Ovis aries: one gene and its partners. The protein of the gene in region 2 interacts with the protein of the main gene of each other region in a biochemical or structural test. Links are inferred from orthologs where the notes say so. Each region holds a gene or a part of one and is shown on either strand. Other genes may lie near its edges.

What was found. The genes of interacting proteins can lie anywhere in the genome.
Region 1: the proteins of COL1A1 (region 2) and THBS1 form a complex in vitro, tested with the Homo sapiens proteins (2 studies listed by BioGRID). The link is inferred for Ovis aries from reciprocal best matches to the Homo sapiens genes COL1A1 and THBS1.
Region 3: the proteins of COL1A1 (region 2) and SPARC form a complex in vitro, tested with the Homo sapiens proteins (2 studies listed by BioGRID). The link is inferred for Ovis aries from reciprocal best matches to the Homo sapiens genes COL1A1 and SPARC.

Annotation. Positions count from the first base shown.
Region 1 is NC_056060.1:33,437,131-33,440,630, reverse strand, and holds part of THBS1 (thrombospondin-1), read right to left. Parts: coding exon 3,361-3,500; intron 3,250-3,360; coding exon 3,127-3,249; intron 2,106-3,126; coding exon 2,012-2,105; intron 603-2,011; coding exon 426-602; intron 116-425; coding exon 1-115. UniProt on the Homo sapiens protein: Adhesive glycoprotein that mediates cell-to-cell and cell-to-matrix interactions.
Region 2 is NC_056064.1:36,201,118-36,204,617, reverse strand, and holds part of COL1A1 (collagen alpha-1(I) chain), read right to left. Parts: intron 3,425-3,500; coding exon 3,317-3,424; intron 2,752-3,316; coding exon 2,644-2,751; intron 2,435-2,643; coding exon 2,381-2,434; intron 2,173-2,380; coding exon 2,119-2,172; intron 1,899-2,118; coding exon 1,791-1,898; intron 1,705-1,790; coding exon 1,651-1,704; intron 1,533-1,650; coding exon 1,479-1,532; intron 1,340-1,478; coding exon 1,178-1,339; intron 1,087-1,177; coding exon 979-1,086; intron 834-978; coding exon 726-833; intron 620-725; coding exon 566-619; intron 475-565; coding exon 367-474; intron 1-366. UniProt on the Homo sapiens protein: Type I collagen is a member of group I collagen (fibrillar forming collagen).
Region 3 is NC_056058.1:60,652,272-60,655,771, forward strand, and holds part of SPARC (SPARC precursor), read right to left. Parts: intron 3,242-3,500; coding exon 3,108-3,241; intron 2,064-3,107; coding exon 1,915-2,063; intron 1-1,914.

The sequences.
Region 1 (3,500 bases), on a different chromosome or scaffold from region 2:
TTCATCTGGGGGCTGGGGGAGTTGCAGAGCCGGATCCTTGTGATCACACCATCTCCACATGTTACGGAACAAGATGACCACGGGGACCAGTGGCTCCAGCCTCCATCCTGTTTAACTAAAGGACAAAGCTGATGGTTATATGGTGCTTCCCACAAGCCAAGCTCTACATTAACACTTTAAATGCATCCTCTAAACCACATCTTCAAACTCGCCAAACTAAACATCTTTACACTATTTTTACCCCCAATTTACAGATAAGAGCCTCAGAGAGGAGAAGCTGTGCTCAAGGGTGCACAGATAAGGCAGAGAACTGGGATTAGATCAGAGTCTAGAACCTGTGCCCTCAACCTCTGTGCTCTGAAGTTGCTATTGGTGACAACAAGGACAAGTCAGGTCTCCACATCCCCAAGTGGCCCAACACTTACATCTCTTGTCACACTCCTGGATGTGGCAGGTCCGCGTCTGCACAGAGGAGCCCTCGCATCTGTTGTTGAGGCTGTCGCAGGAGCGGCCACGCTGCTGGATTCCATTGCCACAGGTCACAGAGCAAGAGGTCCACTCAGACCACGGGGACCAGCCATCGTCTGCAGAGTCGCTGGCTGCTGAGCAAATGGGTGCATTTAGTGTGTTATCATGAAAACAAGCTATTCTTTGGGCTGCTCTGCTCTGGACTTTCTTCCCATGCCAGAGAGTGAAAAGCAATATATTTGTTAGGCCAATGGCCAAGCGGTCATTCTGTGCACAGCTTTGGGGTAATTGCATGCTTTGCCTGGGTCGGTATAGCTGAACCTTTCCCCCACATATGTTTCTAGTCATCCTCGCCCCCTTCTTCCAAGTCTGCATTTTAAATGAGTTTCCCTTTTTTGACTTAAGATGTCTTGGTAGGCATTTCCAGCCCCAGGCTTCCAAGAATACTTGGGTTTTAGGCAACTTATAGGAATCACTTCTGACTTTCAGGAGAGTCAGAGACCCACATGTTTGGCAGATGAATCTGAAGGCAGCGGAGCCGCTGTTGGCTCTGGCCCTGGATCAGTCATGAGGTCAGTCAGCGGGTTGCTCCTCTCACCCTAGCATTTGGGGCCTTTTCTGCACATATTTTCATAAGAGGGAAGTGTGTTTGTTTACCATCTGCCCAGGCGCCATGACTACAATCACGTCCTGTATCTGACAGGAGATAGAGAACTTTGTTTTCTCTTGCCATCAGTTCGAAGTTTTCCTAGTAATCCCTGACTCAAAATTCAGCACTCTGCTAGTCCCTAGCTAGCCTTGTTCCCTTTAACCCACATCTGAAGTGAATGCTGAACAGAAAGCAATGTACAAATGATTATGACAGTTCCAATGTCACTGACATCTCTGAAGGGAACTGGCTCTTCTGAGCTATGATCCGTGTGTGTAGGAAACAGGGAGTGTGGGGGGCGTGGATGTGAAGGGGGAGTGCTACTTTCCTGTTTCATGCATCTTAGTTGTGATAAATCATCTTTATGACTTGTACTTACTACAGTGTCTCAGCAAAGTGATTAATTATACTGGCAGCAAAACCCAGGGACTGGGTACCATGAAACAATACAATTTCTTACAGAGCCCTGAGACTCAAAGTACTATTTTTTCTTAGGTCTCCTACGCCTGTAGATAAAATGGGTAGAACTTTCAGGCCCAGTTAAGTCCATCAATTTCTCCAGTGAGCAGATTTTTACTGACTCTAGGCCACAAGGTCAGATTCTAAATCCAGTTAACTTAAAGCTACTGCTGCTACCAATTCATCTCATCTTTTCTCAAAGCACAGAATCATACTCAATAAACTATACTAAGGTTATTGTCTACACCACAATTAGGGGGGTAATTTAGTCATAATGGCATTTTTTTGGTTGTATACAGCAGACAAGCCATCAGCTAACCAGATGCTGTAGCAAGAAACTGAATGAAAACATGTGACAGAGATGGGACTGGTATTCCAGCATTATGTACAATCAATCCAGTCACTGAAGCATGGCCAACAATCTTAGGAACTTACGCCAGCACCGTGGGCAGCATTCTCCATCAGGAACTGTGGCGTTGGAGCAGGGCATGATGGGACAGGACACTTTTTTGCAGATGGTAACTGAGTTCTGCAGGGCAACAGTGAAGGAGAAATGGGTACTAAGCATATTGCAAGCAGAAGCTTACATACTGAACCATTTCAATTACAAGCTGAAATGTCGTCTGGGCTATAAATGCTCTAGTGGAATGATTTTAATAGAAGCTCTGCCTGTCTTTTGGCAGCCACCAGTACTGTAGAGACAGTTCAAGGGCTGCTTACTTGTCACTCCATCCCTCTAGAATTCGTCTCAATTGCCACTTAGTCACTTCTTCATGCACAGAACAACATGAATTTATGCAGTTGGAACCACCTAATATCATGAGTCAGATCTGTTACTCTGTGTCTAAAATCAAATTCCTGAAACTCAGCCAGGACTTTAAAAATTTTAAATTACATCTTTATGGGGAAAAGAAGATCAATGAGCATCTTACTTTCTCATATATAAATATGGCTTTATATAATATTGGACAAAAATGGGAGTTTAGTAAAGGTGGCTCCCAAATCCGGCAATCCATGATTTGTATTTAAGCTTGACTTTGCTCAATGAGCCAGCAACACCCCCCCAAAATCCTCTGCCCCTGGCGTTGGGTAGGGGGTGAGCCAGAAGGACACATACACTACAGGCAGTACCATCTGAGGTAAGTGGATAGTTCTAATGATGTTGGGCCAAGTGATTTGAATAGCAATCAGTACTGTATTAAAGAATCTCCATGTCATAGCCAAATATGAATCAGGTTGTGGGGGGGGGGTTCCAACTTGATTTTACTTACCTGATATTCAACACTTAGCTCTTGAACTAAAGCAGGTAAGTTACCGAGATATTTAAATAGATATACTCTTTTAGATATTATTCTTAGCCTGGGGTATAATTAAGACTTTGAAAAACTCTGAGCATTTAAATGATTTTATAGATGTCATAGCTGCATCTTAAGAAAAAGACACCACTTGGGTATCCAGCCATGGAACATGAAAAGAGCCTCCGCAGCCATCTGGCTCTTTCTTCAGAGAGTGTGCCATCCATTTGTGTTTCAGTCCGTCGAGAGCCTTACCTGGCAGCGACACTCAGTGCAGCTGTCCACCGTCCACTCGTCACCAGTCCTGTACTGGACTCCGTTGTGGTAGCAGAGTGGGGGCCTCCTCAGCTCATTGGCCAGCTCTTTGTTCTCTTCGGTCTAAAAGGGGGAGAAAGGTTATTAGCATCGAGCCTCACTTTCAGTCCCTCAGCATCATCACCATCACATGCAGGGGCTCCTGCTAACAGGCGGTGGGTGGAGACTACTGACCACTTTGCGGATACTGTCCTGCAGCGTGGTCACAATGGTGCGTAGACCCCTGAGCTCTAGGACCATGCTGGACAGCTCGTCACATGAGATGCCACAAATGGCTTGCAGGTCCTTTGTCTTGTGGCCGATGTAGTCGGTGC
Region 2 (3,500 bases):
AGCTGGGGTGAGCACCTGGGAACAAACCCCCTTCCTTGGGGGAAACAGTGTACTGGCTGGGGAGGGGCCTTGAGGCTGAGCTGTGGCTCAACTTTTTTTTTTTTCCTAATAAACATTCCAAACTGAGTTTGGAGCAGAGGAAAGTTTACAGCAGGCCAAGCAAAGAGAATGGTGAGGAGGGTTCAGGTTCAAAAAATCCAAACTCCTATGGCTCAGTTTTTTCAGGAAGACCAAGGGCCAGACATCTTGCAAGTCCTCCTCTCTTCCCCTGCCTAGGTGAAGTCAAGTGTCCACCTGCAGATCCCCTGGCAAGTCTGGAGAGTCCCTGGCCTGAGCAGAAGCAGCAAGCCAGGCCCAGCGACTTACAGTCTCACCACGATCACCACTCTTGCCAGCAGGCCCAACAGGGCCAGGGGCACCGGGAGCACCAGGAGCACCAGGAGGTCCAGCAGGGCCGGTCTCACCACGGTCACCCTGAGAAGAGAGAGGGAAATCCAGTGAGCCGCAGCTGAAGCGGCCTGGTAGGAGTGGCTGTGGGGCTATGGTCCTGAGGCAGCCATCTCACCTTGGCGCCAGGAGCACCATCTCGTCCAGGGGATCCTTCAGCACCAGGAGCTCCCTGCAGGGGAGGCGGGGAGGTGAACATCAGTCAAGGAAAGGGAGCCTCAGGCCAAGGCCCAAAGGGCCACAGTGATGGCACTGGTGTGGGGCTGGCAACCATGTACCTCACGTCCAGACTCGCCAGGGGGTCCAGCCAATCCAGGGGGGCCCATGGGACCAGGGGGGCCACGTTCACCACTTGCTCCAGAAGGACCTTGTTTGCCGGGTTCACCCTGAGGGAGAAGAAAGAGTCAGGCCAGAGATGGGGTGGGAGAGGGCCTGATGGTCCCCCACATTTGCCCTTGCTGACCATACCACCCCCATCCTGCACCCTCCAAATCCTGCAAAGGCCCTGCCCCAAGGTAAGGGGGCACTCACAGAGGGGCCAGGAAGACCAGGGAAGCCTCTTTCTCCTCTCTGACCGGGCAGGCCGACCACACCACGCTGTCCAGCAATACCCTGAGGTCCAGGAGTGCCAGGAGCGCCCTGTGGTGGGGGTGCAGACAGGGGTGAGATGACTCCCAGTGGCCAGGGACGACACCCCCCAACTCTGGACCCCTCTGGAGGGGTCACTTACAGCAGGTCCGTCAGCACCAGGGGCTCCTTTCTCACCAGCGGGGCCAGGGGGACCAGGGGGACCAACTTCACCGGCACGCCCAGCGGGGCCAGTCTCACCACGGGGGCCTTTGCTGCCTTCTTTGCCAGCAGGGCCAGGAGGGCCAGGGGGTCCAGCATTTCCCTGGATGGGGAGAATTGCAACTGTCAGAGTCCAGCAGATTCTGGAGCATTCCTGAGGCCTCAGTCAGGCCCACCACACTCTTGACAGCCTGTGTCCCACACCTTCCCAGACCAGTGGAGTCTCCACCACGGACACTTACAGAGGGGCCAGGGGGACCGACTCGGCCAGCAGCACCTGGGAAACCAGTAGCACCCTGAAGAAGAGGACAAAGAAGTGATCAGAGGGAGAACACCCCCTCACCTGGCCCAGCTGCCCCACCTCCAAATGCTGCCTGGGGGAAACTTCAGCGGAGAGGCAGAGTGGGTACTCACAGGGGGACCAGCGCTGCCGCGAGCACCTTTGGGTCCAGGAGCACCAACGTTACCCTGGAGGAGAACACAGAGGCATCAAGGCTGGGCCGATCCTGGGTCCAGCCTGCTGGCAGCTTGGACCTAAGCAGTGAGATACTCACAATGGGGCCAGGGGGTCCAGCAGGTCCAGCAGGCCCGGGGGGCCCAGCATCACCTTTAGCACCAGCATCACCAGGTTCGCCTTTAGCACCAGGTTGGCCATCAGCACCCTGGGGGAGGAGGGAGCGTGGTGAGTGGAGGAGAGGTCTGTGCTCACCCAGGAAGTCAGCCTAGGGGGCACCGGAACTCCAGGCAGGAAGACGCTTTCAATGGGAGACAATCTCCCCTCCACCCGCCTGTAAACCCGGCCAACGCCTCTGTCCTCATCCAATCACCCAAGGCCCCAGGTCCTAGTTGGGGATGGAAGATAAAAAGGATCTTGGTACTCACAGGGGGGCCAGCGAAGCCAGCAGGGCCGGGGGGACCAGGCTCACCACGGTCACCCTAGAAGAGAAGGAGGCAAATTGGGAGAGGCCCTGATTCGGGGGAAGGCAGGTGAGGATGGACAGGAGGGTGGGGAGGAGGGCCTGAGGAGCACTGCCCAGGGACCAGAGCAAGTGGGAGCTAAGGTGAGAAGGGACAGAAAGAGAGCTGGGGGGCACATGGAGAGAAGTGCCAGGTACGGAGCCTTAACCAGGTCTTCTGTACTTACGGGGGCGCCACGAGCTCCAGTGGGACCGGCTGGGCCGCTAGGACCAGTTTCACCCTGAAAGGAAGGGACAAGAGGCTCAGGATCAGGGTGCCACGCTGAATACTCCTGCCCGATGACCCCAGGAGAGTCCTCCTCCCTCCTGGTCACCCCACCGTTGGGTTGCCAGGTTGGAGTGGCAGGAAATGCCTCCCTAGCAGAGCTGTGCCCAGGCTCACAAGGGAAGCTGTGTGTTAGGGAAGAAGGTGAGAAGGGGGCCATCTCACCTTGTCACCAGGGGCACCAGCAGGGCCAGGAGGACCGATGGGACCAGTCAGACCACGGACGCCATCTTTGCCAGGAGCACCATCAGCACCTTTGGGACCAGCATCCCCCTAAAGACACAGGAAAGCCTGAGACTTCTGGCGTGGGGCAAGGAGGTGACCTTCAGCATCCTGCTTGTGTCTGGGACCCCTCCCCAGCTTATGTTTGCCCTGCCCCGACATGTGCAAAGAACCTAAGAACTTCCAGGGGAAAGACGCCTGTGTGGGGATTCCCAGGAAAGACCTGGGTTCCATCCCTGGGTCAGCAAGATCCCCTGGAGAAGGAAACGGCAACCCACTCCAGTACTCTTGCCTGGGAAATCCCATGGATAGAGGAGCCTGGTGAGCTACAGTCCAGGGGTTGGAAAGAGTTGGACACAACTGAGCGACTAACACTTTAGGCTAAGAAGCTCCCAAATAAGAGATCCCTAGTCTAGGAGGCACCCACTCCTGCTTGTCGCCATGGTAACACATGGGAAGGGCAGGGCCTGAACTATAGGTAGATGATAACCAAGAGGCCAGAGAAGGATTAAGAAGAGGAAAACACCCGAGGGAGCAGAAAGAAAGATGCTGAGGGATTCAAAGCAGAGAGAGATGGGAGCTACACAAAGCTCGAGGGAGGGGGAGTTCCACTTACTCTGTCACCCTTAGGGCCTGGAAGGCCAGCTGCACCTCGTTCACCAGGCATTCCTTGAAGGCCAGGGGCACCCTGGCTACCAGGGGCTCCAGGGGCACCAGCATCACCCTATGTGACAACCGATAAGACTGGAGTGAGACTTGGGATCTCAGAACTAGGTCTAGGTCACAACTTTGAGCCTCGT
Region 3 (3,500 bases), on a different chromosome or scaffold from region 2:
ACGTCTAAAGGGCCCTTCCAGGTCTAAGATCTGTGGGTTCATAACACAGGTCTCTTGGTGCATTTCATTGTTTCCTAATTGGCTAAGACTTGAGGGCACAAACGCTGAAGATATTCAGCATTTCCGCTATTGGTAGATCAAAATCTGGTATGAAACAACAATGCATGTTTTCTGCAGACACACATTTATACATCTGCAAATGCTCAGAAAAGAGATGAAAAAGAGATGCCTCAAGGTGAAGAGAGTACTGAAAAACTTGGAGAGCAGGGGTGGGGTTTCCCCAGCAGTCCAGTGTTGAGACTCTGCACTTCCACTGCTAAGGGCCCAGTTTGATCCCTGGTCAGGAAACTATGATCCCTTAAGATGTGTGGCCAGAAAAAGAACAGGAAGAGGGTGCTGACTTCTGGGGGAGGGAGTGTGGGAAGGGACTGGAATTGGCAGGCGGAGGGTGAGTAGAACTTTATCTTTTATGTACTGTGTCCCATGTGAGAAGGAGGCCTTCTGGTTTCTCTCCCCATCTCCTCTGTTCCTGTCCTCCCAGCTGGCCTGGACTCCAGAGCACATGTAGGATTTTTTCCCCTTGTTCCCCAGAGCCCTCCATTAGTTGTCCTCAAAACACTCTTCCCCAAGGACCCCCGGGCCCTCCTATCTGGCCCAACTCGTGGAAGGGATAGGTTGAACTGAAGCTCCTCCCCCTTCTTTGTATATCAGTGAGGAAAGTGAGCCCCAGAGAGGGGCAGGGACTCAGGCAAGGTCACCAGGCAGCTCTGGGACAAGGAGAGGGGGAGGACGGATCCTCTGACCCAGGCTGTTTTCCCAGATGCAGGGTCCTTGCAGCCCCATCTGGAAGCCTCCCTCCAGGCCCCTTCCTTGCTCAGCCTGAGTCCAGATGTTCCCTACATCTCCCCTCCCCTTCAGGGTATGACTCAGATGGATCTCAGCCACGGAAAGAGCCTGGGAGAGAAGCTACAGGCAGTTTCCCAGCACTCAGGAGACCCCAGCCCCCCAGGATCACCCACAGGGTGGGCTGGACCGGGAGGGAGGGTTGAGCCTCCCAGAGGGGAGCAGCCCTGGGCATCCGGCGCAAGCAGAGCGGCCCTCCTCTTGACCTGCTCCAGGAGCGCACAGCAAAGGAAGGCGGGGGCGAGAGGGGCCGGTCCAGCTCGGCTGCAGACGGTCAGCCACCACCTGCAACTTCCGGGCACATTCCTTACTTTTTCCTTCCATTGTGAGAAACAGAGCACCACCCAGGGGGTGAGCTCCATGGGGGCAAGGGCCTACTTGGCAGTTCTGAGTACAGTTAAATCCCCTGCCTGGAATTGTGCTAGACATGTAATAGACACTCAATAAATGTTGGTTCACTGACCAACTCCTGGCCTATCCCACAGGGCATTTACACAGCACTTCCTAACTCATTTCAACATGGGGCAGGAGTGATCAAACCAGGAGCTTGCCATGGAGATGGGATGGGCACTGTGATTGTCTTAAGAACTTCCAGAGCCAGTTTGCCCCATTGGGGCCAGGTCTTAGGGCCTTGCTCCCCCACCTCAGCCTTGCCACCCCACGGAGTCCGGCGCTCCTTCCCAGCTCCTTCTACCTTGCTGAATGGATACCCAAGGCTGGCACTCATGGGGTTAAGGAGGGGTTTTCAGTTCTGATGGCTTTTGCCTCTTAGGCAGTAAGGAGGGATTGTCTCATGGTACCAAATCCTTTCTCCATCCTTTCTCCTACACCTATCCTCTCCGGTGGCAGCCCTTAGGCAAGCTATGGGCCTCCAGGGCTGGGAGCAGCAGAGGCCACTGAGAAGTCTTCTGACCACATCTAGAGCACCCAGCAGTCCTGGTGGCGACTGTCCACTCCAGGGCCAGGCTAGAGGCAGCTCCCCTCCGTGACCCTGAGGTTCTGGGGTCTTACCCGTCAATGGGGTGCTGGTCCAGCTGCCCGAACTGCCAGTGCACAGGGAAGATGTACATGTTGTAGTTCTTCTCGAAGTCCCGGGCCAGCAGTTCCACGGGATGGTCGCCAGCCTCCAGGCGCTTCTCATTCTCGTGGATCTTCTTCACCTGTGGGAGCAGAGATGCTGTGTGGCAGAGGGTCCGGGGAGGCTGTCGGGCCAGTCAAGGTTCCTTCCCCCCGACAGGAGGCCAGAGTAGGCAGAGACCAGCCAAAGTCAGGGCTCAGGATGAGGGAAGGGGGACTCCAGGGTTCAGAATGAGGGAAGGGGGTCCAGGGGTTAAGACTCTGTGCTTCCACTGCAGGAGGCGCAGGTTTGATCCCTGTCGGGGACCTAAGATCCCACATGCTGAGCAGTGTGGCCAGGAAAAAAAAAGACCAAATGAGGGAAGGAAGTGGTTAGATGAGTACCATCATTATCTCATCCACAGAAGTGGAGGCCTGGGGCCATCTCAATCAGAATAACTGTGGAGTGTGTCAAAATGCAGCTTCCTGGGCCTTCCTTCACAGAGACACTGGTTCATTGTGGCTAAGGTGGGGCCCAGGGAGCTGTATTTTATCAGTACTCCTAGTGCTTGATATGTTCCTTAAAGTCCACAGACTCAGAAAGAAAAAGGAATAGAATTGTTTATGTCTCGTGCTTAACATGGACCTAAACAAAGTGAGCAGGTCCGTTCATTCCGGGACCCCTCAGAGCCTTTAACGTGTACATGTGCTCTGCCTGCGTGCTGTCACTTCAGTCGTGTTTGACTCTTTTCAACGCTATGGACTATGTAGCCAGCCAGGTTCCTCTGTCCGTGGGATTCTCCAGGCAAGAATACTGGAGTGGGTTGCCATCCTTCCTCCAGGGGATCTTCCCAGCCCAGGGATTGAACCCGTGTCTCTTACATCTCCTGCACTGGCAGGTGGGTTCTCTACCACTACGCCACCTGGGAAGCCCCTGAATGTGCTCTAGGAGCCTCCAAAGGCCGCACGGAGGAGTCTGTGTCCTAGAGCCCGGGACAGAGGTGCTCGTTGGAGCAGGGATGTGGGCTTACATTTGGGGGCCTAGATCTGGGAATGGGACTGGGGATCTCAGCCAGCCTGGGGCCCGAGGTCAGGGCCAGCTCACGGTCGAGCAAGTGCCCTGAGACAGGACGAGAAAAGACCCTTACTCGCAGCTTCTGCTTCTCGGTCAGGAGGTTGTTGTCCTCGTCCCTCTCGTACAGCGTGACCAGGACGTTCTTCAGCCAGTCCCGCATGCGCAGGGGGAATTCAGTCAGCTCAGAGTCCAGGCAGGGGGGGATGTCTAGGGTCAACACAGGGGTGGTCAGCACAGACCCTGACTCCCTGCCCGAGGGCCAATGTGCTGGCCAGGTCGCTCTCCCCACCCCTGCCCTTCTCTTGCTACTTCTTCAGTCGGTGGCCTTGGCACCGGCTCAGCCTCTCGGGGCCACAGTTTCTTCATACCTTTTGAACAAAGGAGATTGGAGGGGGTGGGGGAAGAATACTCTGCAATTGGACAAGAGCAAAGGCACATCCCCTGTTCCCTCGACCTTGATCTCATC